Linked DNA regions of Lytechinus pictus. The protein of the gene in region 2 interacts with the protein of the main gene of each other region in a biochemical or structural test. Links are inferred from orthologs where the notes say so. Each region holds a gene or a part of one and is shown on either strand. Other genes may lie near its edges.

Region 1 (7,337 bases), on a different chromosome or scaffold from region 2:
CTAGTGTTATTGGAGGAAGCGATATGGGGTTTAACTTTAATATCTAACATGGCTGGCTTGCATGTCTTCATTACTGATGCAAGAAATAGGATGTGGTTGGCGACTGGGGCGATGGGGGGCTGGGGTTATTAAAGCACTTTCCTCTGCTCTTCAAAGCCCCCCAAATAAATAAGAATAAATGTCTTACATAAATAAATGAATAAAAAGTGGGAAAATAAAGACCTGATAAGTCCAAAAGCAAAGGAAACTCTCATTCACACCTCATTGAGACCTCATTGATACACACACACTCTATTCAAGTACACAACCGCCCCCCCCCCAAAAAAAAAAAGGGGGGAGGGGTATTTTACCTCCTTGAGTGGATAATACTGATACCTTTCAGATATAGTAGAAAAAACTCCTCAAGAATAATGAAAAAGTGTATCTAATACAGCCCCCTAAAATTATGATGTAGACCTAACAGACGCTGATCCAGTGTTGGGGGAGGGGGGCTCTGAATGGGAGGGAAAAAGAGAGACGAATTTACCTTAAATATTGGTGAAAACCGTTTTTTCCCCTTTTTTTTTTTTTTTTTTGCTTATTGATTTTTTTGGCGGACGGATTATTGACCTTAAATTTAGGTGACAACTTTTTTTTTTTACTTGTCAAATTTCCAACGGGTAAAAGGTTTCACCTCTTTTTAAAAATCCTAGATCCTGTAGTACCACCCCATAAAATTTTAACTCTGGACTCCGCGCCTGGCTAATATAAAAGTAGCCTAGCTAAAAATAACAATATAAATATTTGTAATATTAAAAGTTGTATGATGACGGTAATAACGATAGTTAATGATATTAATAATATTGAATATAATTATGATAATAATAATATAAAAAATTTGATAATAATAATAAATTAACAATAAACTGGTGCATATCCAGTATTTTGCACCACGTGGGCTCACCAATCTGCATGCGCGAATCTGAACCAGTGGTGCGAACAACGTAGCTCACGTGCAAAAAAAATCCTTCTGGTACGAAGCTGAATTATAGGCCTACCTTTATTTCTAAATCATTTTTAAATAGAATTATAGAAATCATAATTTCTAAGATAATATTGAAATTACATTAAAAATTACACGAAGATATATTTTGAAACATTTATCAAAATAAATAATTACAATTACTACCTTAGAAAGATTTGATAAATGTGGAACCAAACGGCGGCTCTCCTATCGTTTCGGCCAAAATTTGAACCAGTCATTTGGATCTGGCGGGCCCGATCGACTATATCCGTTTTGTTTTGGCGGTACTAATGAACTAGCCGTTTTGGACCGCCGGTACCCGGTTCAATTCGCCTATGACACCGGCCATCGAAAAAGGATTTTATTTATTTGATGTTGGGCATAAACCATAAAGTAGGCTAGAGAATTAGATTTATTTGCCCCTCTGCATTTTCTTAGAACTTGTCCTCATCATTATCAATATACAGTAGTTCCTATGCATGCTTTGATTCAGACGTGTGATGGGGTTGATGGGGGGGGGGGGGGGTACTTATGATTATTTTTTAAATCTATTTTTGGTGTTAACAAAATAGGGGTCTTGATTCTACAGTTGGATGTTGCCACTTTGCTTGTATCAAATATGGTTGATAAAGATTCCTGATCATCTTCTCATGGGCGGCGAAAAGCTAAAGATTTGAATAAGGGTCACTGAGGTGATCGAGCGTTAGGTAGGGGCTAAAAGTAGGGGCTAAAGCCCCCCCCCCCCCCGGATCTGCTGCCCCAGTGAGTTCCATATACAGCTGCAAGTGGCAGTTCAAAAGGGCCGGGAGCAGGTGGGATGGCTGAAAATCTTGATTTTTTTTTTTTTTTTTTTTTTTGGGGGGGGGAGACCGATAGAGAGTGTGTCCCATGTCATGCCTGGAATGTTTATTATTATTATTATTATTATCATAATTTCTTTGTGATTAAAAAAGGAATTATACATTGAGGTCATGTCAGTTTTCATATCGAAAACTTGTATGCAGTGTAACGGACATGTAAAAACATAGCAGACGACGTTTGCAGACCTCGCGATCATCGTATGACTGGTGGTGCGGAATGTTCCATTGCGGCTTTATGGGGGAAATAGCATTACAGCGGGATAAAATGTATACACAGATAATGTTTCAGCGTTGATTCGCAATATTTTGAGTCAATTTTTATGAATTATCGTTGTTTGAACATTTAAACATCATTATAAGATGAAAGAAATAAGCAAAACTTAATTTTCAGACTTAGCTATGCAGTATTAAGCTGGGATGCACCCCTCGTATAGATAATGGACCCGTCACGAGTGTAGGTTTGCTCTTCGGACATCACTATCACAAAGAAAATCTCCTCTGATTTGATGATAAAAGTGCCCTATTTCCTTATTAACCAATCTCCATGGTTCTTTCATGAGTATTTGCCTTACAATGTGCCCTTTATTGTAATCTGGGCGGAAATTCATGATACCACCACCCACCGATGTGACGACGGATATAATCCACCCGGGTACTATAAAAATGTCCCCCAAACCCATTATCCCAATACATATTCCTGACTATGGATGGTTTTTAGTGATTTTAATGTAATAAAGTGCCATATTTCCCACCAATTGAATGTTAAAAAAATTATGGTCATCTGATAGAAGAAGTTGTTACCATTCATTTCAGGGGGGCGGAAATTCTATCTGAATCAACGCTTGTCCTTGATATACATTTGTTTGTGAAAAAAGGGTATAATGCAAGGGAATTCTGCGTGTTATAAGGGTGCGCGCGTGCAGCGAGGACCTTCTGTCCGCTAGTTTTCCATATGAATGTGCGAAATGCATCAGTCTGTTTTAATTGCTCTCAATTCCCCTTTTTGTTGGCTTTTTTCTATAAATTAATTTATCATCTGTTTAATATGATGATGACAGCTTGCCTTTTGTTTTCTCTTTTTTTTTTGGGGGGGGGGGGATATTACGCTTCAGGAGAGATAGACGGCTACAGAATGAAATTCTGTTGTCCTTATTACTTTCTTTATTTTACTTACTTTCGTTCTGTTGATATTTTTGTTTGCTTGTTTCTATACATATTTTTTTCAATTACTTTTAGTATTTCACTAAGTAAGTTAAGTTTGTTTCGTTTTTGTTTTACATTTCCTTTAGTTTTAAGACTACCCCTTCCATCTTTTGCACGGCACAAGCCATTATAAGCAGTTTGTTTTGTCTTTGTTTTACTCTTCCTCTTTGTATTGCCCTTCCACTCAGTGTGGCCAGTGCAAAAAATCCAATTATGCTAGAGGAGCAGCGAAATTATGCTAAATCGCGAAAAAAAAAAAAAAAAAAAAAGGTTATCAACCTAAAATTTTAGGAGTGGATGCATGCATGTGAACGATTTTCCTCTCTGGCGCCGTTCATTAGTTAGTAGAAATGTGAAAATTGAAAAAAACCACATGTTGGGGGAAAAAAAAATCAAAATTATGCTAAATATGCTATTATTATGCCAGATTCTTTGCTTTAAAAAGTCTAATTATGCCAAAATTATGCCAGCATAATGAATTATGCTGAAAGGGTCGAAACTTATGCCAGAAAGCATAATTATGCCAGTTCTGGCAACGTTGCTTCCACTACCACACATTTATTTATTTTTCTTTCACACATACTCAGGAACAGGCCCGGGAACAGGTTGTGTATAGTTTCCCTTTGAAGAGTTCAACATTCTCCTTATTTTCTTTCGTCACACCCAGGATCAGTTTCAGCTTTTTATCGATGGGGGGGGGGGGATATTTTCATCAACATTTTCCAGTTGTGGCCGCCGAAATATGATTTTTTAAAGGGGTCAAAGCTAACTAAATTTTCATTTTTAGAAGCAACATAGGGTATTTCATGATGGCCTGAATATAAATTACCACGCGAGCTCAAATTTTTTGATATTTTATATATTTGCCCTGAAAATTGAACATTGTGAGCAGCTTTTGTAATCATAATTGGGGTATCTATCTAACTAAACGATCCGTGTTTCCTTGATTTTGTACTCTAATCCCGACTCTAATCGTGTAATAATTCTTGTAAATATTGTGATTTTCTTGATTAAAAAAAAAAAAAATTAGATCTATATAGAAAAAGAAAGAGTCTTTGGATAATTGAACAAGCAGTTCAATCAATGTGAATAATAAACAACAGCCCGGCAATAGCCCCCTTGCTATATCTGCCTGTGGCACCCCCCCCCCCCCCCCAGCCTCAGCTCCATCAAATCGAGAATTGACATGTTGATTGAATAACAACAAAACATCGACATGGCGCGGGTAATTCATTCGGGTCGAAAGCCGAAACAATGGATAGAGTCGTTATTTTGGTTGATATGGACTGTTTCTATGTCCAAGTAGAACAAAGATGCGATCCGAACCTGAAAGGAAAACCTGCTGCTGTTGTCCAGTATAATTCATGGAAGGGCGGAGCGTAAGAACCATATTTATTAGGCCTAACTTTAGGCACATATTTTCCTAAGAATTATGTAATGTATGTAGCCCCATGTACTGAGATCGACGTATCCTGGACGTCTGAGACTGAGCTAACCCAGAGAGCTCCAGCCCGCGTAGCGGGCTGGAGCCCAGACGCTCAGTGTGCAAACGGGCATTAAGGTGAGAGTACCGTGAAGTTTGGTCAAAATAATTTTGATAATACATAATTAAAACAGAAATTAAGCACTTACCACGATTGTATGGATGATAGTCTAACGAGTGGCAGTTTCCTGACATCGAGGCACAGACTGGAACCTCAAAAAACGATCAGTTCTGTCGCGGTGGCTCTCCTTCTTTCAAAATTCATAGCAAAATGGCCGTTCGAGAGGGTGTAGGGCGCATGCGCGAATTTGACAAAGTCTATATGCGCTAGTGCTATACTAGCCTCGGTCTCGATCGGCCATTTTGTGTTGAATTCTGAAAGAGGAGAGCTACCGCGACAGAACTGATCGTTTTTTGAGGTTCCAGTCTGTGCCTCGATGTCAGGAAACTGCCACTCGTTAGACTATCATCCATACAATCGTGGTAAGTGCTTAATTTCTGTTTTAATTATGTATTATCAAAATTATTTTGACCAAACTTCACGGTACTCTCACCTTAATGCCCGTTTGCACACTGAGCGTCTGGGCTCCAGCCCGCTACGCGGGCTGGAGCTCTCTGGGTTAAGACTGAGCAAGCAATTCGCAGTGCTTGGTTACTTAGGGAGTTCTGTGGCTTTTTGAAATCTTGAAGGAATCCCAACAAATTTGGTACTATTTGAAATCTTTTGTAATAAGAAAAAGAATGGTGCTTAAATCAACTCATGATGTCAAATATTGACAGAGATATTTCTGTTTAAAAGGGAGAATGTGCAGATTTTTTTTACAGCAAAAGTAGATTTTCATTACACAAAATGCAATGACTGGGACTATATAATCCTTTTTAAAGTGCAATGCACTGCTACGCGGGGCAAGGTATGTCCTTGAATTATACATAATTTTATTCTTTAAACTTCAAAGTTTCTCATGGTATAGGACTAGGCCCTATAGGTTTCTATAGGGTTTTCCTCCTAATGGCTTCATACTTGTTTTATTAGGGTGTCTGGAGAAAAAAATTGTTTTTCTTATTTCAAGAAAATATCACATTTTCTTTGTGAATTTGAAGAGAAATGACCTTCAGACTGACAGAAATGTAACATTTTTGAAAAAAATGCAATGATTGGCTGCAAAAAAGAAGAATGAAATTAGGTAAATTTTCAGCATTTCTCTGCCATACATGTAGACTGTGTAGTTAAGAAATGGACACACACAAATCCAAATTTTTAGCTTCCGAGAGCTGTTATAAATTTATTATTAATGCCAAAAACTTGTCCATAAAGAGTCCAATAGGATTTTTTATGCTCTATCTGATGGTATGATTTTTATAAAGATTTGGAAACCAGATCACAATGAAAAATTGCGACAAAGTGAAAAAAATTGTGCAAAACAGAAATGTCATTTTCCCATAGAAAACGCATGGAGAAATGGCAATCTCAACACACACAAAAATAAAGGTTTGCAATTTATCTCTAAATCCTTATTTAAAATGATCATATAAACTTGTCCTTACTGTCAAAAGAAGCCCCTGAATTTTCTCTTTCCATACATGCCAAACACAAGTTAATAATCAATTCAGATCACATTTTTCTAGTAGCCTGAACTTCCCCGAAAAAATGTGCCATATTTTCCCCTAAATTAGCCTGTTTTATGCTGACACTTTTCAGTGTGGCTTCAGACACCCTAGTTTTATACATGGGTGCGCAGACAGATACAAATTCTGAAAGTGGCATTTTAACCCTTTTACATAGAATATAGATATTTAAATCTTATCCATATAAAATCGTTTTATTCTAGAATAATTGCAGTGAGCTATGAAGCAAGGAAGTTTGGTGTAACCCGTCAGATGCGAGGTCGGGAAGCTCGACAAAAATGTCCAGACATCCAGCTTGTTACGGTACCTGAGAAAAGGGGAAAGGCTGATCTTACAAGGTAAGCCTTCATGATCACTGCAAGTCCTATCACTTGCTGGACCCCAGTGCTTCAAAATTCCAAAATGGTAAATTTGCCATCCAACAATTAAGTCCTTGATTGTGACTGGCTCGAGAGCATTGTTACCATGGAAGTTACCATTGGTTAGCTAAGTTACCATATTAGCAACTATTTTGCAACAGGGCATTGGACCAGTCAGTCATCTAACTCTTATGACAAAGGTTGACAGGAAGTTTTAAGAATACATCTAGATTCAACTTGTTTTCTATTCCTTTACACCCTTCCAAATACTTGTCAGAATACACCACATAATATTTGTGAGGCAAGCTGTCAAAACTTGTAGCCTCCTAGGATTTTGACCAAAGAGGGATTATATATTTATATCATCTGAAAGTCAAGTTAATTATTTCAGATATATATTATTTTGATTTTTTCTATATGATAACTATAATAGATCATTATTTTTATTCAATTTGATAAATAACTATCAGAACACCTGTTAAAAATGAATTGAAAATGAGATACCTGCAGGATACATTGTCCAAGGACTACACCATCTACATTAGAAGAAACGATAGAGTGTAAATATAAGAAGACATGCCTTTTTATGAATTGATCAAATCTGTTCTTACTGATCCTCTCACAAAACCCTATAATATACCTCAATTTTTCACTCTATAGATACAGAGAAGCAGGAGCAGAAGTAATAACAGTCCTGTGCAAGTACAGCGATAGCGTTGAGAGGGCCAGCGTGGACGAGGCCTACGTTGATGTCACAGACCAGGTCCAGACAAGGCTGGCCCAGATGGAGAACCAAGGTCAGG
Region 2 (6,988 bases):
TCAGTTGACAAGTGTCGATGAACGCATCCGTGATATCAAATATGCTGTTAAAATGGGCAAAATATTAGTAATCATCACATTTTGTGCCCTCTCATGCATAAGTGGGAGTCTCACTCGTTCAATACGTGTACAGGATCTCTTCTGGGAACATGTCTATTTACATATGTTACACAACATTCAATGATAATTTGCTACTGAAAAATCAAATTAAACAATTTGAATAACTTAAAACAGTATTATGAAGAGGGATTCTCAGGACAAATCAAATTGGCTCTTCTCAGTAGCTTACAAATGTAACAGTAGCAGGTGACGTGATAAATAATAAAAAGTGTTGTGTAAAGGGGTTCTCATGACTTACCCACTATATTGATGTTTAAAGATTCTCTTTCCTTAAAGACATGATCAAGAGATATTTTACCAATCTCTGATCTCATTGTTGTCTGTGCTAGCTGTGTGACGGCATACTCAGGATCCTCAACACCATAGCTGGCCTAGAATGACAAGTTTATTTTCAAGGAATTTTAAAAGAATAACACAATTCACAATACAATATCAATAAAATTACAATTTTATCAATGTCACTATTTATATTTCCGGACATTCATTTTATTTCTTAGTGTATAATACGCATTGTAGTAATGCTGTATTTTTGCAAAGCTGTGAAAAAAAAAAAAAGATTTAAATAGGGTGTGATTGATAATTTTGAGAGAGTGACTGTGAAATAAAAAATAATTTTGCAAGCACGCCATTAAAAAAAAAAGTTATCTGGAAAGAAATATAGCAAAAATCTGCGACACAGAAGCAAACTTGGGAAAAAGTCATATTTTGATAGAACGCCATGCTTACTTTCTTATACATGTACAAATAAGCACTAATTTCATTACATACTAACAGAATTAATTTTGTAATCATTAACACAACTGGAATTTATTTGTAATCTACAGTCACCATACAGATCAAGAGATCAAAATGACTTGTCAATACGTAAGTAAAATACCCCAATCTTTTAATCATCAATATTTTCAATAAGTAAGATATTACCTTGTACGCATCCATGACTCTTAGATACAGAACTCCATCTATCCTTAGTGTCACATTATCTTTATATAAAATAAAAGGGAAATAAATAAAATAGGATTAAGTGTTCGCTTTTTGAATAGCTATCAACGTTTCGCCCAGTTAATGATAAAAATCAGAAGTTCAATTATACACACTTTTTAAGTAGATTGTAAATTTGTTACAACTCCATGCAACTATAATCTTCAAGAACTCTTGTCTTGTTATTCTTATTTTGAAATCTTTGATCCTGAAAACATATATATCCAACCAAGTTGCCAATTATTGTATGATATAGTAAGATAAAACAATAAGTCTTACCATGAGTCACTGCACTTTGCTCTGGAATGTCAATAGCAATTTCTTTCAAACTCTGAACATACTTGATCTTGTCAAGCACTGGAATCAGTAGATTCAATCCCTGCAAAGAAAAACATTCTTAAAATGATTTCTTGTAAATAAATGTTGCCAGTGAACCATTCAGCAGCCAATAAATCACAATGGGAATTGCAGTTCAAAATATAGAGCTTGGGCCAAAAGTTTTAATAAAAAAAATTGATGTACTTCACTGATCAATCTATCACCTGACCAAACCCTTAGTGTCATCAGCAATGTGTTCTTGATTTAAAATAGCATTCTTTTTTAAATTTCACAATAGAATTATCCCAGGATATGAAGTACATACACATCTAACAACTTACTATAAAAATGTGTGCATAACTCCATAAGCTAATGCCTTAAAAACTTGTTTCTTCTCCTCTTCCTCTTACTCCTCCCATCAGCATATCCTCCTCTTCCCCTTCCCATTTCTCCACCTCTCTCAAACACCCAACTTCCTCCTTCTCTTTCGTTTTCTTCTTTTCCCGCCTCTCCTTGCATTATCTTCTCCTACCTAGCCAGGAGGCTTCTAGAGAGTAAAAATCATTTACTAACGTATGCTTACTCTCCACAAAGCCAGGAATTCCTACCTATTCATCTGCACGCACCAACCAAAAACCTGAAACTTTCGCCCCTAAGATTTCTACTTTCCTTCTAAAAGATCTAGCCCTAAATCATGTACATGGGATACAACTTCATTTCCGACATTTCTACGCTATCAATTTAATTTTTAAACAAGAATTCATCATGCGTCCGTCACGTTGGGGAAGAACAATAGGAAACAAGATGGCGGCGTAAACATCGGGCAAGTCTCTTCCGTCTTTTCGTATTTTTCTCATTTTTTTATGAATTCTTGTTTAAAAATTAAAGCGTAGAAATGTCGGAAATGAAGTTGTATCCCATGAACATGATTTAGGGCTAGATCTTTTAGAAGTAGAAATCTCGGGGGCGAAAGTTTCAGGTTTTTGGTTGGTGCGTGCAGATGAATAGGAAGGAATTCCTGGCTTCGTAAAGAGTAAGCATACATTAGTAAATGATTTTTACTCTCTAGACTAGAAGCCTCCTGGCTACTCCCACCCCCTCTCAATGTAATTATTTGGATACTAATACAAATAGGCAACAATAACTCACAGGTTGAAGAGTTTTGTAGAACCTGCCCATCCTCTCCACTACCCATGCTTCCTGCTGAGGTACAAACAGGATAACTGTGTTCACTGCACCACTTGAAACGCACCTTGCATGTTGGGTAATCACACACTGCTGAAGTCTCTGTCAATGAAAAAATTAATGTTAAGATTCAAATTTTCCACTTATGCCTAAGACATGTAAGACATAAAAATTTACACAGATTAATCTCATCTCTCACTAGAATTTAGAAATGAGGAATTAACTGAAATTAGAAATCCAACGTCAAGAATATCAAGTGACAACTTTTTTTCTCTTCAAATTTAATTGTCTTTAAAGATTTAACGTTACTTATAATTACAAAACATTCATCATGTTCATAAAATGATACGGGCCCTAGGCTAAAGGACAAAACCTGATGCAAGCATTAGCCATTGGGTTTGAAATTTGAGTCATTTTAGAATTAGTAGAGGTCTAACTTTTTACCGGTATTCACAGTTTACTTTAAGTTTAAGTTTCACCGAGCTAGTAAAAATTCTAAAATTGCGATTGTAAAATAAAAATTTGCGATGAAAATCATGAACCTCGCAAATAACTGTAAACTTTGCCAAAAACATTGCGGCAAAACAAAAGTTTGAAACAAAAATCGTGAAATTTACTACTATTTGCAAAGCTTGCAATGAAAATCGCGCACGGGGCGAGAGCCGATAGCTATAGTATACCCAGTTGTTGTGTGTCCGGACAGGTTGTGTGTCCGGACGATCAATTTTAGAAAGTCATTTGGAAAAAATTACAAGCGAAGTTTCATCAAATTTTAGTAAAAAAATTTAGAAAATATTATAGAGAACAAAATAGAAGATGATTACAACTATTGAATTCATATTTTTAGTGTAATCTTAAGACAAAAAAGAAGGCTTCAAAAATATAAAGTGTCCGGACACCCGATCCCCCATCCTATAGGAGTAGAGCTGTTTAGCAGCTACATGTAGCTAGCACTGGCCATCGCCACTAGCCTCAACGCCCCGGCTGCGCTGGGCGCTTGAACGGCACCCGGCCCAGCTCAGCAGGCAGATGACACAACACACGCTCGCTCCACAAGTCCACAACCATCGCTCAGGATTCATAAAAAATTGCAGTAATTTTACATTACCTGTGAAGTTCGTTGAAGAGCCCCGGTCCTCCTTATCATTGTCGTTATAGGTAACATCTTGAAATTGATATTTATGCAAGGATATTCACTTTGTCTTTAATAATAATATGATGAAATCTCAAAAATTCTTAATCTTACACAATACAAGACATAGTACATGCATGCCCATTCAATCATGTACGGTATGGTGGTTGTAATTGTACTAATGAGAAAGAAAATTTGACTTTGGTTTGATCCATTGGAATTAAATTTGCCAATCTTTTATCAATATTTTCATGAATACTGAACTCACCCTGAAGAAACTTACGCCAAAGGGCAATTTTATTTTTAGGTCGCTTTTCATGTTGCTGATTTCAGATTTTAAGGATATTGGCTAGTTTTTGAGATAATGACCTTCACGAAGTATGGACACACGCGAAGTTTGGTCTTTGGACTCACTGCCATACAGCTTTTTGCAAGATAGCATATTTCAGTAATAATAATGCGACATTTGCTCATGTGACAATTGACTTGTTAATTCTGTTAAAACTGGCTTTGGTCTTTGGACATGTTGGATTAATGCACTCATTCAATGACCTGGATATGGGTACGTTAGATCTACTAGTACTAGTTCGTTTTACGGAGGATGTTCAAATGCAATCACCTTTATTTTGTACTTGTAGTGACCACCTTTTTTTCTTTTTCTTTTTCTTTTAATTGCTTGTCAAATTTAAACTTCCGGTAGCACCTCCTCTAAAAAATCGTTCCCAGGAATGCAGATATTTTGATGGGGGGGGGGGGGGGAGTGGGCATGAAGAGTCACCAACAATGATTGAAGGTTATGTCATGTCTTTTCTTTCCTAAACAATTAACATTTGAAGTAAAAAAAAAAAGGCTTCTTTTTCATAACTTTCAAGTTTCAAATTTAAATTCAATTTGTAATCTTTGATTTCCAGTTTGCTCCAATTTTTATCTCACTTATTTCATACCCCTTTCATAAACCCAATAAAACCCAATTATGCTGCTAATAGCAGCATAATTTGGTCGTAAAATCCGAGGAGGACAAGAGTTATCCGCATTATTCTGATGCTGCTATTATCCGCATAATAGCGGCATCGGGACAAGATTTTGAGTTTATGAACATATTTCCAAATAATGCGGATAATTGCCATGGTGCGGTCACAAGGTCACCCTTTTCCAACACAACCGCATCGGAGGGCGCGTGTCCAGTTGTCATGACGATTATCCGCCTTTTTCAGGACGGGCGCTCGTAAAAATAATGCGGATAATTTTCGGAGTTTGTGAACGCAATTTTTATTGAATTATCCGCATTACTCTTAGGCGGCTAATTGATGGAGGATAGGTTTTATTGGGTTTATGAAAGGGGTATAAGATAAAACTTATGACTAAAACCAGTTTGGTTACAGTACTTGAAGTGACTTAATTCTTCCAGTTACATTTTACATTACAAGAAGTTTGAAAAGGAAATGAAAGTTATTCTACTGTATTAAGGGTTCTGGAGTCTAGATCTAAGAAATGAACTTAAATTGCTTGCACATTATTATGAGGAGGAGGGAAGGTTATTGAATTAAACTGATTCAAATCAGGTGAAAACAATTGCAGCAATTAAGATGGAGATTTCATTTGGATTCTGGTCCTGGTTCATTTTTACTTTAAATGTTACTTGTTGCAATATTCCTAAATTGCAACTTCTTGGAAATGAAGTCATTCATAACAAATATATTTTGTTAGCATGAATAATATTTCAATAAATTGCCAAATTTTTTGTGTAAAAAAAACATTGGTTCAAAATATTATAGAGTTGAAGACCATATTTACCTGTGTGATATCATTCACACTAACTAGTATGACATTTGGTATAAATAATGAACTTTCTCCCGTGATGATAGAAATCCTAATTTGAAAAAAAAATACTGGTAATTATCTGTATTCTCAAGACTCAATTATCTACAGCTATGTGGTCTATTATTGAATTGAATAATGGTAGAAAGACTGCCAGGGGCATTCCACCTGTTGCTATTTATTATCTCTCTTTTCCCAGTCACATAGATCAAATATGGAAGGGAGATGGGAAGAACAGGATGACACTGAAGATGAAGCACTCAATGAGGAAGATGACATTGATTGGAGGATGCCGTCAGATATTGGTTCACCCAGCACCAAAGCCTCTTCTTTGAAAACACAATTGTCATCTTTAACTGGTAATTAATCAACAGTAGCTTTTAAAGTACTACTTCCTAGTCATCAGATTTCATTTTTTCCTTAGGTATGGTTTTCAAATAAATAGAATTAGAAAATGTATTATCAAGTTGACCTCTTGTTATCACTTTACAAAATTACTATGAGACTATTAAAGTAAACGTATGCTTTAATGGCTCTGGGAGCAAAATTTCTGTGTTGCTCATATTCATCATGGACAATGAACTATCTTGTATATATTTATGATATTTTTTTTTATTATAGACAGACCAAGACAGTAATACCAAAATGACATTTATGTGTTGAGGTGTTTATAATGTTTTCTCACTTTTTGTAAAGGAGAAAACATTGGACCAAAAATCAGGTCCCCTGTGAGCTCTGCTCTAGAAGATCCATAAAAATAGAGGATTTTTCATAGGATTTAGGTAGCAACTTTCCTGGGAGAGTTGTCCTGTTGAGACTCATTTATATGAAAAGAGTCGATTTGCATAAAGTAGAAGAAAACAACTCTTAGAAAATTTCATCAAAATCGGATGTAAGATAAGAAATTTTACGATTCATTTTTCACTAAACAGTTATATACTCAACATAGTGATATTTATGAGAGAGTAAATGATGTCACCCACTCACTAATTATTATTTTATTATATGAATTATCTAATATTTAAGTTTTTGCAGATTTGACACTGAAGAAACTCTTTATCAAAGTACTTGTAATTTTAGGGGAAAATCAAACTTAGTTACAAAGGAGAAAAAAAGTTAAAATATTCATATTTTATACGATAAAATACAAAAGAAATAGTGAGTGGGTGATGTCATCAATTTCATCATTTGCTTAATGACCAGGATGTGTATATTACCTTTTTTTTAATTAAGCAATTTTTTTTAAATTTCATATCTCTTTTATCTTTAATACTGACATCCAATTTTTATGAAGATTGAGCAGAGGAAGTTTATTTTCTCTTATTATTCAAGTAAACTATTTGTTGAGGTGGACTTTCCCTGTAAATGAGCACTCTATAGATATAAGTTATTATTATTTCATTATTCATAATAATAATTGATGACTAGTATGCAGGA

Evidence for each region.
Region 1: the proteins of DNA polymerase iota-like (region 2) and DNA polymerase eta-like interact in far-western blotting, tested with the Homo sapiens proteins (2 studies listed by BioGRID). The link is inferred for Lytechinus pictus from reciprocal best matches to the Homo sapiens genes POLI and POLH.

Annotation. Positions count from the first base shown.
Region 1 is NC_087251.1:39,639,584-39,646,920, reverse strand, and holds the start of DNA polymerase eta-like, read left to right. Parts: upstream 1-4,263; 5' UTR 4,264-4,320; coding exon 4,321-4,445; intron 4,446-6,378; coding exon 6,379-6,513; intron 6,514-7,194; coding exon 7,195-7,337. UniProt on the Homo sapiens protein: DNA polymerase specifically involved in the DNA repair by translesion synthesis (TLS). Due to low processivity on both damaged and normal DNA, cooperates with the heterotetrameric (REV3L, REV7, POLD2 and POLD3) POLZ complex for complete bypass of DNA lesions.
Region 2 is NC_087249.1:20,891,782-20,898,769, forward strand, and holds the start of DNA polymerase iota-like, read left to right. Parts: upstream 1-3,913; 5' UTR 3,914-4,280; coding exon 4,281-4,295; intron 4,296-5,750; coding exon 5,751-5,910; intron 5,911-6,988. Other genes in the region: stomatin-like protein stl-1, read right to left, coding at 359-491, 1,042-1,100, 1,378-1,477, 2,566-2,703, 3,710-3,766. UniProt on the Homo sapiens protein: Error-prone DNA polymerase specifically involved in DNA repair. Plays an important role in translesion synthesis, where the normal high-fidelity DNA polymerases cannot proceed and DNA synthesis stalls. Favors Hoogsteen base-pairing in the active site.